Nothobranchius furzeri: one gene and its partner. The protein of the gene in region 2 purifies or fractionates together with the protein of the main gene of each other region. This does not show direct contact. Links are inferred from orthologs where the notes say so. Each region holds a gene or a part of one and is shown on either strand. Other genes may lie near its edges.

What was found.
Region 1: the proteins of hirip3 (region 2) and casein kinase II subunit alpha' purify together in Homo sapiens (affinity purification with mass spectrometry; 6 studies listed by BioGRID and IntAct, counting the BioPlex papers as one, with this or other methods). This does not show direct contact. The link is inferred for Nothobranchius furzeri from reciprocal best matches to the Homo sapiens genes HIRIP3 and CSNK2A2.

What each region holds. Positions count from the first base shown.
Region 1 is NC_091749.1:31,566,604-31,570,834, forward strand, and holds part of casein kinase II subunit alpha', read right to left. Parts: intron 1,619-4,231; coding exon 1,535-1,618; intron 1,276-1,534; coding exon 1,165-1,275; intron 1,075-1,164; coding exon 973-1,074; intron 1-972.
Region 2 is NC_091752.1:51,441,413-51,446,366, forward strand, and holds the start of hirip3 (HIRA-interacting protein 3), read right to left. Parts: upstream 3,232-4,954; 5' UTR 3,146-3,231; coding exon 3,072-3,145; intron 2,261-3,071; coding exon 2,140-2,260; intron 642-2,139; coding exon 497-641; intron 425-496; coding exon 77-424; intron 1-76. UniProt on the Homo sapiens protein: Histone chaperone that carries a H2A-H2B histone complex and facilitates its deposition onto chromatin.

The DNA.
Region 1 (4,231 bases), on a different chromosome or scaffold from region 2:
AGAGAGCTAGAGTTAATAACTACACTTATAAATCAGGAGACTGAACTTATTTAAGAGTGGTTCACTCATTTAATGAGTACACTTGCAGTGGACTGCAGTAGACGCTCGGGGGGGTTAGATGTGTTTTTCAGGAACTAGCAGAAAGCCACCTCATGGCAGGATTTGGAGTCTCATTTCCTGACATTCTGACATCTCTCATCTGATTGGCTAACAGAAAAAGACCCAACCACTGACTGATTGCTTTGCAACATTGATGCTTTATCTCCACAAATACCTCCAGCTTGAGGGAGTTCTTCTGTGCGGTGGAGTTGCTAATGCTAACAGTTAGTTTCTACTAGTTGATACATTCTCTGCTGTTTCCTAGATGCTAAACCAACAGCAGCCTTCCCCATCGTGAGTCAAGATGGGTGAGTCCATGAATGTTAAGTGACAGTGCGACGTAGATCTGTCAGGCTTTTCCAATCCTAGAGTTTTACTGTCTATTTTCTATCAGAAGAAGCTAATGCAGCAGATAGGTGTAGGAGACTATTTTCATTTTCAACCTACATTTGAACCTCAGAGTGACCGATTATAATCAGAAATAATTAAAATATGATTTGAGTGATCCACAACTTTAAGGACAGGTTGAGTTAACCCAGTTTCTGTTGGATTACTTGCTGTGATGTTAGTTTTAAGACACAAAGCAGGGGGCGCCACTGAGCCACATTACAGTGCAGTACCTTGTGAGTGTTGTTCTACTGCCACCGACAGAGATCATTCACAAAATATCAACAAAAACGTGTTTAATTCATCCACTCATGTGGAGGAAAGAAATGTTCTTCTGGGATTAAAAGCATCTTTTTTTATATTTGTCTGACACAAATAATGAGTCAACATTATAACTTAAATTTTATGTTATTTAGTCAGAGAGTAAAACTCATCTTTATTAATATGTATCTGTCCTCCTTTACACATCATTTGTTCACCTCTTACCTGATCATAGTTGTCTTGGCCGTGGAAAAATGGCTCCTTGAGGAAAATCATGCTGGCCAACATGCAGCCTAAACTCCACATGTCCAAACTATAATCATACATCTAAAACAGAAAAACACAGTTGAACCCTAACATGACATCAGAGTTCACACCGCCTGACTCAGAGTTGTGCTTTTGTCTGAATAAATCTACCTGATAGTCCACGAGCAGCTCGGGGCCTTTGAAATAACGAGAGGCCACCCTGACGTTGTATTCCTGAGCGGGATGGTAAAATTCAGCCAAACCCCAATCTATGAGCCGGAGCTGTGGCAGAACACACACACGTTACTGGGTTCCTCTCATGTTTCCCTCGAGTAAAATCTACAACATCACAAGTTATTAGTGTCATTTTATATCCCATCAAAAACCGGGTGTGTTTGACTTAAACATGAACTATTGATGCAACAGGGCATCAGTGACTCATGTAAAAGTTTGTCAGTGCCAGATTCATTAATGGACACACAGATGCACATGATTGTTTCTGAGGTGTTGTTTTTGGAGTAAATAAACAACTGAGCAGCACCTTCCTCAGCTGGTGGTCGATCATCACGTTGTGGGGCTTCACGTCTCTGTGCATGATGCCCATGCTGTGACAGTAGTCCAGAGCCTTAAACAAAAACAGAGATTTCAACTGTTGAGCAGAGCGAGTTTCTCCTTCCAAAAGGCAGATTATCAGGTTTATAATCTGGCCTGTTTAGCACTGAGAATGGACTTTACTGTTTATGTCACACAGACTATTTATGTTTGGCTAATTTATTCAGAGTCAATCTTCAGTATTTGTCTCTTTAAGTATTAATGTTTTAAAAACAGGAATGGATGATTATGTTATGAAAATGTTCTTCCTTTTCTTTACAGGTAACACTTCTACAAAGAAGGTACATTGTTCTCTGACTGTGTGGCTGTCTCATCACGCCAACATGGGACTGGTTGGCCATCTTAAACATTCTTTTTTCTAGGGTTTTGATTTTTTTATTTGCTGAATATAGATTGCTGGTGGATGGCGTTCCTCTCAAACGTCCTGTTAACAGCTCAAGTCACCAAGGCTTTACAAGCAGTTTGTGAAAATCCTTTTCATTACATTCCAGGGTTGTGTTGGCAGAAATATTTCTGCTGAGCCCACTCAGGAAGTCATATACAACAAATAAAAGTCAGAACTTTTACATACAACACATTTCAAACTGGCCAAAATACTTCTTCAAGGTTTTCTTGATGTCCGAGTTTCTCAGAAATAAGCTGGTGTGGGTGCTTTCACTTTTCTTCCAGGTAACCACTCGTGTAGAAATTGTGACCCCAATAACCAGAAAAATGGGACAGCGGCATTTTCTCTGTGTACATCCACCCTGAGATGATCAGCCTGAAATACAGCTCTACCGGTAAATTTAGCCACGGAGAAACAAAATAAAAAATGAGCTGTGTGTTCAGTAGCAAAGCACACGCTCAACCCTCTAAGAAGTCCTACTTCCAGTTCCTCTTGTTTCACCTAAATAGACCTGGAAACAGGTTTTTGCACAAGCACATATTCATCACATCCACTAGACTCACCAACAACACCTGTGTTTTACAGCCAAAAAACTGAGATTTAACAAACATCTTTCTCTAAAACAGCACCAAAGCTTCTCTGTTTAACGACAAATAACATTAAAGACTCAGCAAACTGTAAAGCCTAATTTCTACCTCTCCGTCAGCTCCGTGAGGGAGAGACGCACACGCACTGACAAACGTTTTGGTCACAGACTTCTCCGTCAGCTGGGGATTGTTGCAAAACAATTCCCCGCCAGGACAACAGAGGGCGTAGCACTATTCTGAGGTATCCTGCCACCATTACAGTCTCGAATCTGGTCCATGATTGTGTATTTACTTTTGTTAACATTGATTTAAAGGGGACAATGAATGCAGTTGATCAGCAATCTAAAACACTGCTTTGAATCGAAGAAGCATAAGAAATTTTCTTTTGGCTTTCATCTGTCCCAGGAGCCCTGATACAGGCCATTCTAAAGCTTGGTTTATGCTTGACACATTCACTTTCCGCGCGGTGATGCGGCTCGCGGATGGAACGTGCTTCACAACTCGCAGTGTTTATGGTTCATGCGGCTCGTCTCTGCGGTGAGCCAATATTCTCCCAAACTGTAGGGGGCAGCATGGAGCTCTACGGCATGCATCCAGCACTACACCATAGTAGAAGTAAAAATGACTGTTTACAACATGGCATTCCAGCTTTTAACAGCGTCCTCGTCTTTTCCGACAGTGCGAGCTATTTCTCTCCAAGAATTATTAACAACATGCTGATCACGGTGATCTTTGAGAGCTGAATCATACAAATGTCTGTATTTATGAACCTCTGCCATACTAGTTCTTGCCAGTCCGCCATGTTTTTCCGCATCCGACCGTCCGCGTGGTTAGAAAATTTCCTAGGTGCGCGGTGCGGAAAATTTGGGCCGTGCGGAGGCGCGGTGGAGGGGCGTGGTTGTTAAAATGACGCAATTTTGCCGCGCGGAGCCGTGCGAACCTCGCAGACAAGCATAATCCAAGCTAAACCCCTCTAAATCAACCTTATTGTGACAAGAGCTGTTCACCCCTCCCACTTGGCCAGGACATGAATATGCTAATGAGCTGCTTGCTAATTGGTTGGTTTAAACCAGAAGGCCCCAGACACAGGAAACTGAAGATTGGAGGAGGAAGGGCTTTACATTAAGACGTTTTTATGAGGTTTCTCAGAAAATAAGTTTCTCTGGCATTTTAAAACTTTCTAATTTACTTAAAAAGTAGGTCACACACGGCTTTGACTTTTTGGCATGGTACCTTTGACCCCCTGAGCCTTATTGTTGCTTATTATTAAAATGGGAGGATCAGCTGAAACGGGATCTTCGTAGGGCACGAATTACAGAGGCTTCCGGGGGAGTCCAATGAGAGGGGGGTTTATTTTGCCTTGGCCCCCAAAATGCCTTGATACGGCCCTGGGAGTGGGACTGCGTTTTGAAAGTGATCTGAATTGTATAAAATATATAAATATTACATGCTTATAAATGATTGCTTTATAAAAGTAAACTTGTTTTTTTAATTGTTTTTTATTTGAATATTTTCCTGTCCTGTCCGTCTCATCTTCCTGCATCTCCTCTCAATCCTGCAGAAAAACTGTTTCCTGGCTTTCTACTTTTTCACCTCAGGGATTACTTTTGAACTAAGCACATCAAAGGCATCTACTGACCGCAAAACAGCGGAG
Region 2 (4,954 bases):
AGCAGCAGGACACACATTAACAATCATTCCTATAAACACTAATAAAAACTTGAATAAGTATAAATTCATCGGTCACTATTTTCAGCGCCGGACGACTTCCTGTTGTCGCCTCTTTGTTCCGACTTCCCATCTGAACCACTTTCACTCTCATCACTCTCCGCCGATTCCTTCCCATCACTCGTTTCGGGACTTCTCCCTTCCGTCTTTGGAGTGTTCGATTCCTTTTCTGCCATTTTCTCTGGACTCTCGTTATTCTCGCTGTCACTTTGTTCTGACTTCTTCATTTCTTCATCAGAAGAGTCATCCTCGCTCGTGGTCGGCTGTTTTGCGTTCCCATCTGTTCCGACTCGTTTCCCTGCACCCGTAGCGTGAGATTTTGCTTGTTTTGGACTTCCTGTTTTGCATTTCTCTTCAACCTCTGAATCTGAAAAATCAACATTAACATCACAGCACCATGAAACCGACACATTAAATACATATTTGCGTTACAACCTACCTGATGAGGAGCTTGAAACACGACGAGATTTTTTTGCTCGGGGGTCTTTTTCTTCTTCACTTTCCACCTCTTTTTGCTTGGTTTCTCTCTTCCGTTTGTTTTGGGGCCCCTTGATCTCAGAGTCACTTTCATTTTCAGCATTTTCCTTAAAGAAACAATATAAACAGAAATCATTTAAAAACTATGCTTTTAATATACCTTGTATTTTTTATTTCAGCCTCTAATGATCACAAAAACATTATAATACGACATCCTGCTTTACGAGCACGCTCTTACTTTGGAAAGATGCTCACTAGAACTACCGTGTTGCGTACTGTAAACATACTGATGTCACATGAATAATAGAGTACACCTCCATTGTTTCTATTGATGACCCCTGTCATGCTGTGGTGCAACATCCTGTAATGCTTCTCTGTACCGTTCCACTTCCAAGCGCTGATGATTCTGAGAAAGGAAGTGGTGGGCAGCTGGTGCCTAATTCCAGTAGTCACTAGGTGAGGTGGGGGGACACACTGGACAAGTCTCCAGTCCACCACAGAGAGACAGAGACAAACATCCAGTCACTCAGATCAATTTAGAGTCTCCAATAAACATAATCTGGATGTTTTTGGTCTGTGGGAGGAAACCAGGGTACCCAGAGTGGATCCACGCATGCATGGGGTGAACAAGCCAACTCCGCACAGAGAGATTGAAGCCAGGAATCAAACCTGCAACCTTCCAACTGTGAGGCAACAGTAACAGAAATTTTAATAAAACTAAATGTAATTGCCATTCCATCGGATGTGCAGGCATTGCATGACATCCGTGAAGCCGGTGGTGAAGCATCGCGATTTGGATGCGAGCCAGAAGCCCCGCTAAGGCTTTGGGTCCATTTTTTTTATCTCAATGCTTCGAGAATGCGTCAAGCTCAGCAGCGGAGATCAGGTCAGACAGGAGATAGATCAAAATAAGAGTTGTGCAGATTTCCACTCACTTAACTAATAAAAAAAGTGCGTCATTGCCCATGAAACCACAGATCTTTTTGTACACATGCTGCTGTTCTTCTTGTTTGTTATGATGTTAAATGCTGAAATCTCGTGTGATCCATCTCTGGTGCTTCCAAGGCATCGCAGGGCCAGCTTCGTGGAATGCCTTCACTGATGTTTTGCGTCTGTAACATTGCTGGAGGCAAGGATGCTCACGCGTAAAATGCGTTTACAATCTTATGCACCATTTATGCATCCAGTGGAAAGCTGGAGTACACATGTCAAAGTCACTGAATCCAATGCAAGTTGTACAGAGCAGCCTTTTTCTTCTTCATCTAAAGGCAGCTAATCAGAATCAGCTGCAGGGTCAAACCCAGAAACTCCCAAGCAGAGGACCGGCATTCTGCAGACTCTATAGTTTGTGACAACATCGAGTATTTTTGTGACCGACGTTGACGTTTATGGATGGTCCCTGGACACTAGTCTCAGCAGTTTCTGCACATTGAAGCTTGTGTGACTTGTTCTGCATACAGGACGGTGCATTTAGATCAAAACAAACACGTGTGACATGGATGAGCTCATCAGTGTTTGAGAAATGGTTGGACTTATAACCACATTAAAAATAACTGTCAACAGAAGAAATGACAAACATGTAGAATGATCCTAAGTTTCAGTTACCTGCATGTTCAGAAGTTCTTCCTCCACCACTTGTTTCATGAACTTCTTCGCCTCTGGACTTAATGGCTCACATTTCACAAGAGCCAGGTACCTCTTCTTCAGTATGCCTAATGTGAGCGTGCTGAGAGAAAACAGCAGAATGAACACATTGAGCAGCTTTTAGAGCAAAGAAAGGTGCTCACACATTTTTTCATGCCTTTAAAATGACAGAAAAATAAAAAGCATCTCAATAATTCTACTAACCTTTAAGAGGACAACTTAATTTTGAAGCGGATTAAATTATGCATATGTCGTTTTTAACATGCCCAATAAAAGGATGTTTTGATAATACTAATTTTCAAAAATCACACATTTCTTTTCCAGCTCATAGAATTAAACAAACAAAACATTCTGTACATGAAACTGGATCTGCTGGGGACAAAACGACCAGACTAGACCACTCTTTGCATAGATTGTTGTGGTTTTCAGCCCATTAAGTAAAACAATCTTCTTAAAACATCTTATTTAGTTTCTGATAAACAAAAACATTTGCTATAACTACCACAAGCAACCAGGAGGGGGCGCTACATATTGTTTATAAGCTTAAAGACATTCCAATAAATCAATATTTAATCGATTTTTTCAGCTCAATGTCCGATTATTTGTGACACCAAAGTAAAGTAAAACTAAAAATTGGAACTTCTGGTCTTTGATTGCGTATAATTATAATTATTGTTAAAATATACGGTTGGATTACGTCTCCGTCTCTGATGTTAGTTACACGCCATGTCGAATAAACAACCCCAAAAGTCTTTCAGCTACAGTTAACGCCCAGATGTGCAAACAGACCTTAAAATAGACAAATTAATGTAAAAATACACAAGCAGACAAAGCCAAGAAGTCGTTTTCACCTAGAAGAAACGCTAAATGATAGCACGTGGTTTTAAATGTACCTTAGATCTGATTCATGGCGCAGTTGATCCACCACAAACCTGCGGAGAAAATTCCTCTCTTTTTCTGGCACCATCTTCTAGAATTTATCGCTTGATTTCAGGTGGCGGGAATCGTAAACAAACCAGGAAATGACGTTGAACAACCACGCCCCTAACGTTTTAGGGAAGTCACTTCCGTACTATGGGTCCCAAGAACGAAAGTCAACGGGGCTAAAAGAGCTATTTTCTACTTCGCTTTGCCTTACGCCCTGGATCACACATATGTTGTACTGCAATTTAAAAGAAAACTAATGATGGGTGTTTCGACCACGCCAGTCACGTACTTTGATATTTATCAGCTTGTAAGCGTTCGAAATTAGCATGACTACAACTTAGAAATCGGCATGTCGCATATATGACGTCACTACATAAATCTCTTCTCCCCTAGCGTAGCTGCTACTTACCAAATGGCCAGATTTATGGTGGGGGCTTCTTTCTGAAGGAAGGATTTTAAATTCGCTAAACTTACAGCCATTTACCCTTTGTTTTTCTCGTGTGCGGTTCGATGACGTCATTTTCGTAACGCGCGTTTGTAGTTCTGGACTTATTTTCACACAAAACCTAAAATAAAAGAGTTCTTGGTATTAAAATGCGTGTTTAAAATTCATGGACATCATATGTGAAATCCTTGGCACATAAGCAGAATTAGAAAAAAGCGTTTTAGCCTTAGACTTGAAATCATTTTTTCATTCTGCAGTGACCCATGGTCTGGAAGCAGATGGGTGTGACTTAGGCTCCCTATATTCTTAGAAATATACAAAGCAAATATTCTTCAAAGGATAAATTAATATCAAGTGTTTTTTCTGTTATTTTGAACCATTATACTTGGGTTCCATTCGTTTCATTAAACCTGGTCACCCAAAGGCAAAAAAATTAAAATTCTTGCATTTAGCATTTGAATTATCTATCTATAACCAGAGCCCACATAAATCCATTCTATCATTCATGTCTAAAAATTAAATATTTAAATTCCCACTATGGCTCATCATCAGAAACAAATGACATTTCTGAACAATGTTTTATTTAGTCACTGTGGAGCATTCTGAGACATAAAAACAAAATAATTAAATGGTAAATGGCCTGTATTTGATATAACACCTTCTAGTCCTGGAACCCCCCAAGGCACTTTACAACACAATCAGCCATTCACCCATTCACACACCATTGGGGATGAGCTACAATGTAGCCACAGGTGCCCTGGGGCGCACTGACAGAGGCGAGGCTGCCGAGCACAGGCGCCACCCGTCCCTCTGACCACCACCAGCAGGCAAGGTGGGTTAAGTGTCTTGCCCAAGGACACAATGACAGCGACAGACTGAGCGGGGCTCGAACCTGCAACCTTCTGATTACGGGACGAGCACTTAACTCCTGTGCCACCATCGCCCACAATAAAATAAATAAAAGAGGCCAAAGCTCATTTTCATAAGCGATTTATTTAGAACATTTCCAAGAACAAAGGATGGAAGTATTATTAGTGCATTTTTCAAGGAGTTCCACATTTATGGGTCTGACAAACACTCATCTCCCATTCAAACTTTCTTCTCCCCCCTCTTCGGAGTGCTTAAGATTGCACCAGTCACTACAGAATATTCAAAAGAAAATAACTCTTCCTCTCCCTGAGGCAAATAAAACTCTTGTCTGCCTTTTTTGGTGACTGCATAGCCAATCTGTGTGTGATCTGGTTTAAGACAACGTGAAAGTAAAGGATTATGGCTCAGATCAAACGAACTGGTCACAGTTTGTCAAACATTGAACTGAAGTTTCTGATTTCCTAAAATACAATTTGAGTGCAGAATTACACCTAAGCAATAAGTAACACAAACACTGGATTTGTTACAAAAGTT